3 linked regions of the Oryzias latipes genome follow. The protein of the gene in region 3 purifies or fractionates together with the protein of the main gene of each other region. This does not show direct contact. Links are inferred from orthologs where the notes say so. Each region holds a gene or a part of one and is shown on either strand. Other genes may lie near its edges.

Evidence for each region. Proteins that work in one complex are often made in the same cells at the same time.
Region 1: the proteins of vps50 (region 3) and vps52 purify together in Homo sapiens (affinity purification with mass spectrometry; 4 studies listed by BioGRID and IntAct, counting the BioPlex papers as one, with this or other methods). This does not show direct contact. The link is inferred for Oryzias latipes from reciprocal best matches to the Homo sapiens genes VPS50 and VPS52.
Region 2: the proteins of vps50 (region 3) and eipr1 purify together in Homo sapiens (affinity purification with mass spectrometry; 4 studies listed by BioGRID and IntAct, counting the BioPlex papers as one, with this or other methods). This does not show direct contact. The link is inferred for Oryzias latipes from reciprocal best matches to the Homo sapiens genes VPS50 and EIPR1.

The regions. Positions count from the first base shown.
Region 1 is NC_019869.2:3,226,575-3,230,789, reverse strand, and holds the start of vps52 (vacuolar protein sorting-associated protein 52 homolog), read left to right. Parts: upstream 1-1,318; 5' UTR 1,319-1,476; coding exon 1,477-1,572; intron 1,573-2,003; coding exon 2,004-2,085; intron 2,086-2,827; coding exon 2,828-2,880; intron 2,881-3,282; coding exon 3,283-3,358; intron 3,359-3,769; coding exon 3,770-3,837; intron 3,838-4,215. Other genes in the region: rps18 (40S ribosomal protein S18), read right to left, coding at 157-243, 320-418, 1,169-1,171. UniProt on the Homo sapiens protein: Acts as a component of the GARP complex that is involved in retrograde transport from early and late endosomes to the trans-Golgi network (TGN).
Region 2 is NC_019880.2:20,755,557-20,759,920, forward strand, and holds the start of eipr1 (EARP-interacting protein), read right to left. Parts: upstream 2,898-4,364; 5' UTR 2,763-2,897; coding exon 2,721-2,762; intron 2,581-2,720; coding exon 2,497-2,580; intron 1-2,496. Other genes in the region: trappc12 (trafficking protein particle complex subunit 12), read left to right, coding at 3,482-4,364. UniProt on the Homo sapiens protein: Acts as a component of endosomal retrieval machinery that is involved in protein transport from early endosomes to either recycling endosomes or the trans-Golgi network.
Region 3 is NC_019869.2:10,068,558-10,072,207, reverse strand, and holds part of vps50 (syndetin), read right to left. Parts: intron 2,786-3,650; coding exon 2,667-2,785; intron 1-2,666.

The sequences.
Region 1 (4,215 bases), about 6.8 Mb from region 3:
CAATGTGCATCTTCATGATTTACCATCCGCTTTTGCGTTTGGTTGCAAATCAAGACATTCGAATTACAGCCATTTTTCTTGTTGTATCCCCAAAACACTGTTGCTTAAATCAAACACTCATTTACAAACAACTTAGAGAATTCATTGCCGCCTTACCTCCTCCTCCGTTAGCTCTCCAGCTCTCTTGTTGAGGTCAATGTCAGCCTTCCTCAGGACAACATGGGCGTAACGTCTGCCAACACCCTGTAACCAGATAGACAATAACGTTTACTTTTTTGTATTTTCTGCAGATACATGAATAGTCCCACAATCAGATTACCTTGATGGCGGTGATGGCGAAGGCGATTTTCCTCCTACCATCGATGTTCGTGTTGAGTACACGAAGAATATGCTGGAATTTCTCGGGGATTACCAGAGACTATTAACAAAAAACAAAAACAAAAGTTGAACATGTGAGATCCTTCAAATGATCCTCATTCTGTACCAACATCAGAGAAATTTATAAGTGATGCTCTACTATAACTGAAACTATGCATACACAAAACATTCTAATGGCTCAATATTGCTTGGTAGCATAAAAAACACTTGTACCTTACAGTAATTTGATCAGATACTTTTGTATGGTTCTGTATGTATGGTAAGCTAATACATGAGCTTGAAGACACAAGTTGCCTAAACGGTGGCTTTGCAGGGCCAAAACAAAGCAGTTGTTAAACACAAAGGGAACAGTGTTTGTATTATCTTGTACAGATCACATTAGCTAGAAAATATCATGCAATCCCAACACCTAGTATCACGGCTAAATTAGCCTACAAACATGATCGCACAAGCAGTTTCAATTAAGAAAAAACTCGCAACCAAATTGGGGAGACAGTTTAAAAATACTTAGGTTGTATTGGAAATGTTGCGAGTATTTAAAACTTTAATTTGAGCAACATCAGAATTTTAACATAGGAAATGCTAGCCGGTTAGAGTCCGTCGGCGCTCACATTTTCAATCGCTTTTCCTACAAAACATCTTCATGATTGTGTAGCCAATATTCTATTCTATAGCTTCGCTGTCGAATAAATGTTTGAAAACACCGATGATTTAAGGACAGAATTTGCGAATAAAGCTGGATTACTCTAGATTTCAAGACTGTTTCACAGTGCCAGAAAATGTTTCATACCATCTTGGATGTCGGTTCCGTGCAAAGAGGAAGTCGTGGAGTTCTCGCGAGAGGTTGAGGTGGTTGGAAACGGAAGTTGGTCCGCGGTGTTTAACTTGTCCGGCAGGGACTTGATTGTTTTTTTAAAATAAAAAATATGGACACGAAAATGATTCACTTTGATCAAATAGACTTCATAAAAATAAAAGTTCTTGCCTATTTGCCTGATAGATTTATATGTGACATTTCTTTTTATCATGCCTAAAAAAATGCTGCAGTAACTAACTGGGTGGAACGTTTTTTTTCCTTTATCTACACAATTTGCCAATATGGCGGCGGAAGCGGCAGCAAACATAGGAGCGATATCGGATGTAAACACATCAGGAAATCCAACAGAAATAGCAATGTCGTATCTCCAAAACGAGGTGACATTTACTGATTTTAGAAGTCTAGTGTCTGTCTGTGTGGGGGGGGGGGGATATTTGTCTGATTGCCCTGTTAGCATATTTGGAAACTAATTGAATTGTTGGCAGACAAGTCAAGAACTGTCTAATTCCTTAAAACGTATTTGCAGAGTACAACATTTCAGATAAACGTGTGATATAAAAGGTCAATTTGAACCAGTCTGGATCTGTTGTTTTAAGTCTACCCTCTCTTCTTGTTTGCCGCAATGAACAATTTCCTGAATACGTAGCATCACTAGTCTCTGATCACGTCCATTAAGGCTTAGTTGTTGTCAAACAAAACTGACTTTCTCTTTCAGTCAGTTTTTATTCATAGTTTGTTTGTTAAGCAGGGGTCTACGTCTCATCAGGATGTATATATATTTTTTTATTACTTTGTGTCTTTTTCTCAGAAGACTGATGGAGACTTCCCAACTCTTAACCTTGGGGAGTTGGATCTCACCACAGACGAGTTCATCTTAGATGAAGTCGACGGTAAGAAACAACTGCTACAATTCTACAGGTGTAACGAATAATCGATGAATAGATTTGTATTTCAAGGATCAAACCAGATTGATCAGCCTGAGGAAGGAATGCAATTAAAAAATCGTTGCGAAATTAGATGAATCAGTAATCAAATTGAAATGGGAACATATGGACTGAGACAGGGTAGGTTTAATCTACTATAACATGACCAAGTGCATTACAGCGTACAATACACACGTGTGATAGCATCCAAATATAATAAATCCATCATTCCAGTCCAATGTGTGGAAACACTTTGAACTGATCAAAGACATACAGTGTGCTAGAATGTTCTAATAATGTTTGGATTATGTTGATGTGGAAAAATAACAGTGGGCTGAACTTTAGGAAACTAAAAATGTCAATAGATTTAGCATTAATTCTTAATATTTATTCTACAGTAGATTATGTTGCAAAAAATAAAATGAATGTGGAAAACTTTCCCTGAACTGTTCCGGACCCAAATATTTATCTCTGAGTCACACTGGTGGAATTTTTGGGTAAAGATGCTCTGGATTTATTTTAGGTCAATGAACCAAAATGGAATCTTAACCACAGATATTGAATCACTGTTAAAATGAATTGTTACTCCCCTGTTATATTCTTTGAACTTATAGTCAAAGTGGAATGCAGAATCCGTCATTGCTTTTCAGTGTCACTGTTTGAAAACTGTTTTTTTGTAATAAATCAGTGGTTTTTTTCTGTTTTTCAGTTCATATTCAGGCCAATCTGGAGGATGATCTTGTGAAGGAGGCGCTCAAAACGGTAAAACATGGAGCTCAGTTGTTTAAGACAACCAATTCATTCATGTGTCATACGAGGAATAGATTTTTTTAAACTAAATGTATCAAAGAGCAGATTTTCTCCACGTCCAGACATTAGCCTCTGTTAACAATTATTTATTAGTATTTTTATCTCTCCAGGCTTTGACACTCAGTTTATTTCAAGCAACAGCTTTAAATCATCCGAACAATGAGATCCTTTTGTTGTTCTTTGAAAATCTCTAGAAGTAAAGGTTTATTTTGCCTTTTTAGTTTACTTTAAACCTCAATACCTCTTAATAGAAGAACAACAATGGCTGTGATGAATTTAGTTAGTCATATGAATGTTGTGTTTAATGTTAAACTGCTGACTTTCTGTCTGCCGGTCAATTGTCCTTCGTTTTAGGGGGTTGATCTGCGTCAGTATTCCAAACAAGTGGAGACGGAGCTGCAGAGGATTGAGCAGGCATCTATTAAAGACTGTATCCTTCAATATTTGTTAAAAAATGACCTGAAATGAGAACACGCCAAACTATTATTCTGCTAGTTTTCTTCTTTCTTTAACTTTGCTGAATTAATATACAGCTAATTTCTTTTTTAAATCTGGTATTACAGATGGCTTTGTGTGTTTTTGATTGGTTTCAATATCTTATAAACATAGATCAGAATAAAGACGGAGTGTCGATCGAACTTTTTGTAACCGGTAACATTTAATTTTTTGTCTTTTTAGGGAAAACTTAAATAGGAAATCTAAGTTTATATATACATTTTTAATCCATTGCAGTATGAAAGGTTTAATCCATTAAAATGAAAAGATGAAGCCAGTAAATGTTTCACAAAGGTTTTATTTATGGAAATGTTCTGTACAGTTTTCCTGATTATCTGTCTTCCAGACATTAAGGAGAGTCAGAACATTGCTCTCCTGCATAACCAGATCACTGCCTGTGACTCCATACTGGAGGTAAGAAAAGATCTCAGACCTGCTGCTGTCTTTGAGAAAACTGCTCCCGGACACTCGATGCAAGCTTTGGTTTAGCTTAACAAACTGGATATGTGTGAGAAGAAGATTATGAATGCAAAAAAAAAACAACATTTCTTTTGCTTCTCAAATGTTCCAGGTAGATATATTAATAGGAACAATTAAACAACAACTATAGTTGTGGCTTCTAGAAATGAGTAAAGGACAGAAAGATTCACTCATTCATTTGTAAATCTATTTAAGGTACATCTACACACAGTTTTATTCATAATTATGGTTATTTATTTTAACCATTTTATACTTTTTTATTTTAATCTTAGCTCTCTAATGAAGAAAGAAACCTATCCAAACTCTGACATA
Region 2 (4,364 bases), on a different chromosome or scaffold from region 3:
TGGATTTGCAGCAATATATGAATGAGGACATCTGAACAAACAATTGACATTTGTTCTACCATGGTCCAGGTGAATACTCAATTCTGATTGGCTGCAGAGTCTCAATTAGAAAGATAATGGGCACCAAAAAAGGAAATTCAGGTCATACAAGCCTGAATGTTTTATATTATTGAACCGGGCTGAAGATTGGAAGATAGGTGGACAGATGTTATTCTACAGTTTATTACAACAGGAAGACAGTAGAAGAGATCTGTGTCCTTCAAATGTCTCTATGATGGACGTGTCAGAATTAATTACCATCAATGGCAATGTTGCCTTTCATTTTAAACAGTTTGTTGCATGTGGTCCTCTCTTATTGTCTTTCTGTATTGCTTACCTTGGTGCTTGATACAGTATTGAGGATCTATGAGTGATTTAATGGTCAGAGTTAAGAGTGAATAAAGGTGATCTAGGAAAATACTTGTGGACTTTGTTTCTTTGAAACAAACTTTTGCTTCATCATCTGGACAAAAACAAGGAATAAAAAGGTAAACCTTCTCTCTGAAATGATGCTTTGGATCAACTATCATGAAGGCTCGGTAGCCGTTACCATGACAACTGCATAACAATTGGTCCACATCTTGTGAAAATGATTCAAAGGTTAAAAAAAACAACTGGATTAAAGCACTATTATTTTATTTAATATTTGTTTCTTTCATAAATGACCATGGTATAAGCAGGATAATACCGTTTGTGGTGTCCATTATCCATTAAATAATTGTTGGATTAACTATACAAATTGGGAAATGATGATAGTAATACACACCAAGCAAAATGTGTTTTAGTGCATCAGTGCAAAATGCAGCTTTGCTCGTCTCCTAACTAGGAGGTGAAAATATGGTCACATGTCCCCCGTTTCAGCTTCAATCATCCATGATTGACATTGTTCCTTTTAGAATTCGTTTATTGGTTTTTGAATCCTTCCATGCCTCGGCACTGGTTTACCTCTCTGAGCTGATGCAGCCTTATGTCTCCTCCTGACCTCTTAGATCAGCTGCTTCTAAAAGTACCGTACAAACTTAGAGGGGACCACACTTTTGCTGCAGCTGGTCCAAAACTCTGCAGCGACCTTCTGATTCACGTTGGAGAGGCCAAGAATCTGGATCCAAACTGTGCGGCTGGTGAGCTGCGATACTGCATTTTGTTAGGTTGGGGGTGTGAGGGGCTGTAAGCTAGTGGGTCAAAGTGTAAACAAAGGAATGATGGGAAATAAGGGCTGGCTTACTCCGCGGCAAAAGTACAGCCCACAACTCAGAAGTGAATTTCTAATGAACTCCTGGCACTCTGCAGAAACTATGTCCTAGAAAACGACAGTTTTTTTTTTTTATCCTGGCTAAAGATGGCATCATCATCATAAAAAGACAACTGGGAACATTTTGAAAATGAATCAAACGATGATTGGAATGGGACTTTGGAGAACCGCTAAAACCTAGATTGAAATGGGGTGCCAACAATGGCTAGGATATCAAACTAAATATTAATATCAGGTTTGATAACAAGAAGCGTATCAGAATGTTGAATACACGTGAAGGGATCTGTAAAGGAGGGAAAAATATGAAACCAGTAAAATATTAAAATTGATAAATACAAGGAGGAAAAAATATAAAATGTTTTTATTCTATTTTGTGGAGAAAAAAAAGTAGGACCACCACAACTATATTTTCAGACACAAACAGAAAGATCAAGGTTTTGTGGTGAGAGGCAACTTTAAAATGGATATAAGGACAGGATAGTTGAATTCTCTAAACACTGAAAGCTAGAAACAACTGAAAAAACTACATATCTGACAACCTAACTCAATCCTTAAATTCTGTCCATTTCAAATAAAGAACAGCAAGCTTAAAGAAAACAGTGCCGTTGGAGTGAAATTCTCATTCTAACTACTACTCAGACGGTAAACTTTTGACATCTGGATTGGATTTGTTAAATACATTCTATCGATCTGATCTTCTGTCGTAAAACTCACATCTTTGAATCTCTGAGATCTGTGCAAGACGGAAAATCTGACTTTTTATTAAGTAAGAAAATTAAAACTAAGAAGTCCTCACCACATATAACTTGTAGAAAGGAAGTTTGTGTTTTGGTTACTGTACCAATTCCTCCCAGCCAAATAAATCTGCTTACATCAGGCAATGGTGGCAAACAAACTTTCTAGTAGTAGAAAAACGCCCACTGACCACTGCAGCAGAGCCCACAGGTGTACCGCCAAACAGGTGTACCGCCAAACAGGTGTACCGCCAAACAGGTGTACCGCCAAACAAGTCAGTGAGTCTGCAGCATGTTTCACATCACCAGTTAAGATTTGGAAAATTTTTCATCATGGGTGAAACCTCCAGACTGCTCTGGACTGGTGCTTGTCCCACAAGTGCATGTCCCATAAAACTGTCCATTTAAAAGAGACAAGCCTGACAGGAAGCAGCGTTATAATCTGAAGGACACCTGCTGAGTGCTGCTCACCTGGTTATCAAACTTTAGGGACTGGGTTCCCACCAGAAACCGAATGGCATCAGTCTCAGCTGTTTGGGCTGTCAGCGCACGCGCCTGTAACAGGAGGAAAAACGACAATAGAATAGAATAGAATAGAATAGAATAGAATAGAATAGAATAGAATAGAATAGAATAGAATAGAATAGTTTCTTGGTCCGAATAGTAATGAATGATGGTTTAGTGGGTATGTTTACCTGAAATTCCAGCCCGTAAATGACAGGGGCGTCGTCTTCCATCCTTCAGTTTGCTGTTGCAACAAAAACACTTTTTCACCGAGAATAAAAAAGCTGCTAAAATGCTTTATTTCCACCCCGTGCTTCTCATTAAAAACAGCAGCACTTCCGCGAAGTGATGCGTAACTAAAGATTCAAGCGTAACGTGAACATACGTCACTACGGTTTTAAGAGCTCGAGCTCTCTGCTCTTTTTACGTATGGTGGTTTCGGGAATGTCAAAGCAGTCCTGTTCACTAAGTTTGTCCTTTCTAGGGAACCTTACTAAGGATTTCCTCGGGTGACGCATGCGCACTGTAAGCCTATCTGTCAGTCGATAGTAAGGTAGGAAGCATGATCGTAATTGTCTCTTTTGGGGCATTTTTTAACATTGTTTTGACACGTTTGTACGTTTTTGCTTTCTGAAAATGTTATACATCTATTCTGCTGTCCGTGGTAGAACCCGAACGGACCTCGAGAGCTGGAGCTTAGCCGATTGATGAGCTTCCGGTAGCCAAACGGCTAGTACGCAGCAACATACACAGCATCAGACAGATCTGTCTACCTTAAATGGAGACTTATTGAGATTACTTTAAGCGCAAATGAAGTACTTTGAATATAATTAGTGTCTCCGAACAAGCGGAGGTGACAGGAAGTAGTCACAATTTGGGTTTTGTACATCATCATGACTGGTTGAACTCACCTGGTGATTTCTGATGTGTTTAACCTTTTAGGAACAGTAAGATGGATGCAAGGGAAGCTCCTTCCCAGAGGCCTGACACGTTGGACATCACAGACGATGCCGACCCTGCAGCCTCATCTTCAGAGCCGGCAGCACCCGGCAGCTTGGCCCCCTTCAAGGACAACATTCTGGCCCTGGAGGACAGCATTGATCTGGGAGGAGCAGAGTTTGCGACACCCCACGAGGACAGCAGCGCCACCCCCTCAGAGAGCCTGATGGACAGGTTGAACGACCAAATGATGGAAAGCGTCATGATTTCTGATTCACCTAACAACAGCGAGGAAGAGGATGTGGCTCCCATCGACTCATTTCTGGATAGAGGGGAAGATGAGAGAGCAACTGAAAAGGATGAAGGGAAAGAGGCTGAGATGATACAGGGGACAACTGATACAAAGATTTTTGTGGAGCAGCAGAACAACATATGTTCAGAAGAGGGCCCAACAGAGCAGATGAATACACCAGAGGAATCCAAAGACATTGTTTCACCGCAAAGTGACAATGAGAGTTTGTATGTTAGTGGATGTGAGGAACCAGAATCTCAGTCACCCCAGGAGACAGAATCAAAAGACCAGCCTGTGCCGGTGTGTACAATCTTCAGCCAGAGTGCACAGCCTAAGTCACTGGTGGCTGATGGCTTCAAACCCACCCTGATCAAATCCCCCAGTTTTAGCATGGGAAGCGATGGAGCCAATGAGGACACAGCGACCCCTCATAAGCAGAACATTCCACTAATGTGTCAGCCAAGCCCTAGTCTCAGTAAATTCTTCACTGACAACGGGCAGGTCAATCCAGCCTCTGATTTTTTTGATTCTTTTACCACCCCTTCCTCCTTCATCTCCATTTCCAACCCAAATGCAGAGGTGCCTCCTGGGACTGGAATGGCAG
Region 3 (3,650 bases):
CAACCTTTTTAATAATCAATCATTATCACCTCTAAGTTATATAGAGTGACTGGAAGGTGATGCATCAAGTGTGTCGGAGGAATGACTAGTAGTATTTAACCATGGGATTTAACCCTTGTGTGGTGTTCATATTGTTGTTACTCAGCCAGTGTTCGTGGGTCTGGTGGACCCGTTGCATGTTGTGGTTTTTAATGCCTCACAATCAAACACTTTGATGTTAAAATACTCGACAGATGTTTACCTTATCCATTTACAATCAGTATATTTGGTTAATTTTTGCCCTTTACCTTTGTTAGATCACATTCATAACTCATTATTTAAAACGTGATAAAGAAAATCAATTAAAGTCAAGATATGAGTGGAAACAAATTTTCAAGTGAAGCAAGGGTTTTCAAAACTACTGACTTTTATTTATTTGAACACAGAAACTGAACCCATTCAGGTGCACAACACAAGCTGAACACATAGAGTAAACCTATTAGTCCAGACAACACATCAGCCCCATTGAACACATGGCCTTCTAGCCACTAGCCTATACAACACATGGTCCTGGCTGCTGACGGCTGGGTGCTGATGGCTTCGTTTTGGAACTGGCTGATGCTCAATCTAAATGGTAAATGGTAAATGGCGTATACTTATATAGCGCCTTTCTTCCAACAAGGACAAAACCCTTTACAATCACAGACCCATTCACCCAGTCACACACATTCACTCACACATTCAGACACTGGTGGCGGCTCCGCTGCCAAACACAGGCGCCCGCCTACCACCAGAGGCAAGGTGGGGTTCAGTGTCTTGCCCAAGGACACTTCGACTCATGGGCGTGCAAGGCGGGAATTGAACCTGCAATCTTACGATCATGGGCCAACCACCCAACCGCTGCTCCACAGCCGCCCCAATCTAATCATCTTCTTCAGAGTCACTGTCAGACTCTGAATTTTCAGAAATGTGATCCTCTAATTCTGAAACCTCCTCTTCTGAATCGTCTCCCTCTACATCATCATCAAAAACGTCACTCTCTTCTAAAATCAATTCCAGGGCCCTCTGCGCAGAAAGCTTTTTGGCCATTTTGATCAGTTGTGATAAGAAACCACACTGGCAAAGCTATATTTAACGTGTCCCGCCTCCAATTTGTAGCAGATAAAGAGCGAAATATTAAAGATTCCCGCAAGAAAGTCAAATGGTTAAATGTCAAATGTGCGGGAGAACGAGAGCAAACAGAGTTGATTCTTGAATTATTCTAACAATGTTGCAACCTTGCGCGGGAACCGCAGGTGCAGAAACAGAACTCACATTTACAGTGAAAATTTCTCTCTCTGCCACTCTCTCTCTCTCTTTCTCACTGGTCACACACACACAGACACACTTACACACACCCACACACACACAGCAGGCCCAGACAGGTGGAGGACAGAGTGTAGGTACATAAAACATCAATTCCCACACTTCTATTAGCCCTGGGTCCAGTGGACCCGAACATCTTATATGTAATATAAATGTGTTGGGGGGGTATACGGTGTGTGGTCATTAAAAATGTATTCTGATATATGTTCTTCACAGAAAATGAGCCAAGGCCAGTGAGTCTGAGTTTGAAAAATTAATTAATTGTATAATTTTTCTTTTGATAAAAAATGAAAACGGGTCCCACAGACCCGAACACCACATAAGGGTTAAAAATGAAGAGTCTGACTAATGCTGCATTAACACAAAACACACTTTGTGCATCAGGGGCGTCAGGTTTTGATGTAAATTCAATGTACTGACATGATCTAAGGTTCTACAGCGTGATCTGGGCATCGGCCGCAGCACGGCAAGAAACTCAGATTTGGGCACGTGGCGTTATCAGTGACTCCATCGAAGGGTAGAAAAATAAATCACACGTGGCTGCTTGATGCAAGCGTTTTCTTCCTGAACTTCCATCCGTTTTTTAACTCGGTGGGGCCGTGCGGGTTGCTGTTGGCTGGCCCTGTTACTGCTGGGCGAAGGCGGCATACACCCTAGACAGCTCGTCAGCGATCGAGGCCGCTTCAACCGGGCCGGTCAGACCCTAAAGCTAGCATTCCCTAGCTCCAGCTTCATTTGACAGGGTAGCGCAGTGGTTAGCGCTCTTGCGAGGGGACCTTTCTGTGTGGAGTTTGCATGTTCTCTCCGTGCATGCGTGGGTTTTCTCCAAAAACTCCAGCTTCCGTACAAAAACATGCGTCATAGGTGAATTGGTTACTCTAAATTGCCGTTAGGTATGAATTTGGGTGTGTGATTTGTGGCCCTGCGACAGACTGGCGACCTGTCCACGACCTTTGGCGACCTTAGCCCACAAATGGCCGGGTTAGGCTCCAGCAGCCTCGTGACTCCGAAAAGGACAAAACGGGTTTAGAAGATGAATGAATGAAAGATTCTGCAAATTGGCCCACTCAAAAGACGAGAAGCCAAATAATTAATTTCTGCCTAGTTCTCTTAATAAATTCTTTAAAAATCAAACAATTTGATTTTCAGGACTTTTTATTTTACAATCTGTCTCCCATAGCTGAAGTGTATCATGATGACCATTACAAACCTCTGTCATCTAACAAATACGTCTATGCTCACTGTATCTTCTGAACATAGATGATCTGACAAGGCCCGAATTTAATAAATGTCATTCTGTGACAGCTTGAGTTAGTACTGACCTCTTCAGAGGGGCGTCACCTGTCTGCTCGTCAACATAATCCTGCTTGAGCTCCTCAGGGACGTCGCTGTCGCTGTCGTATTCCTGATACACGCTCTTCTCCAGCTCATCTGACTCATACTGGAAAAATACGAAAAGAGCGATCAGATTTTTCCCTTGGAGAAAATGTCAAGACACTGAATTCAAATGAAAGTGGAAGCAAAAATCTCCCAAAGAAAAGTATAACAGAGTATTAGGGCCACCATGCAAGAGAAAAATACATTAATATATGAGAAAAAAAGTCAAAAATCTATGAGAATAAACGTGTAAAATAATAAGAAAAATGTCTAAATATCCAAAAGGAAAAATACGCTTTTTCGAGAATAAAGCTGGCTATGAAAGCCTCCATCCACATTACAAGATGGCTACATTCATCAATGCTGCCCTTTATGGTGATGCCATAAGACTTAGGTTTAGGACAGATACCAGTATTTCACCTGATATTTGCTGATACTGATACTTAAGTGTCTACAGCAACACAAAGTTTAGATTTCTTTTTTGTTTCTTATATTTTACCTTTTTAATATACAGCAAAGGATCTCATAGTAACAAGTATCAGTTTAACACTTTACTATAAATATATCTATAAGCATTCAGATCATTCATTGAATATTCGGCATAACTGTAAACTGTAGACTCCCAGTTGCCAGGGATCTTTTAGGAACAACATGTGTCCAAAATAAAAATAACGTTTACCTGAAAACAGTCAATTACTGACTATGACTGTAAACATAAGCGTCCAAATCTATTAGGAACAAGTACACATTTCACAAACTAAAGTGTCTGAAGAATATCAGTAGATTCCTTCTGACAAAATCTCAATCAGTTATGTAAAAATCAGTCCATACCGATACTGGCCCTGATGTATCACTCTTCCCTACTTTAGTTTATCATAGAAATCCATGTGCCATGATCCATTTGGAGCTCTGCGACTATGCTGCCAACA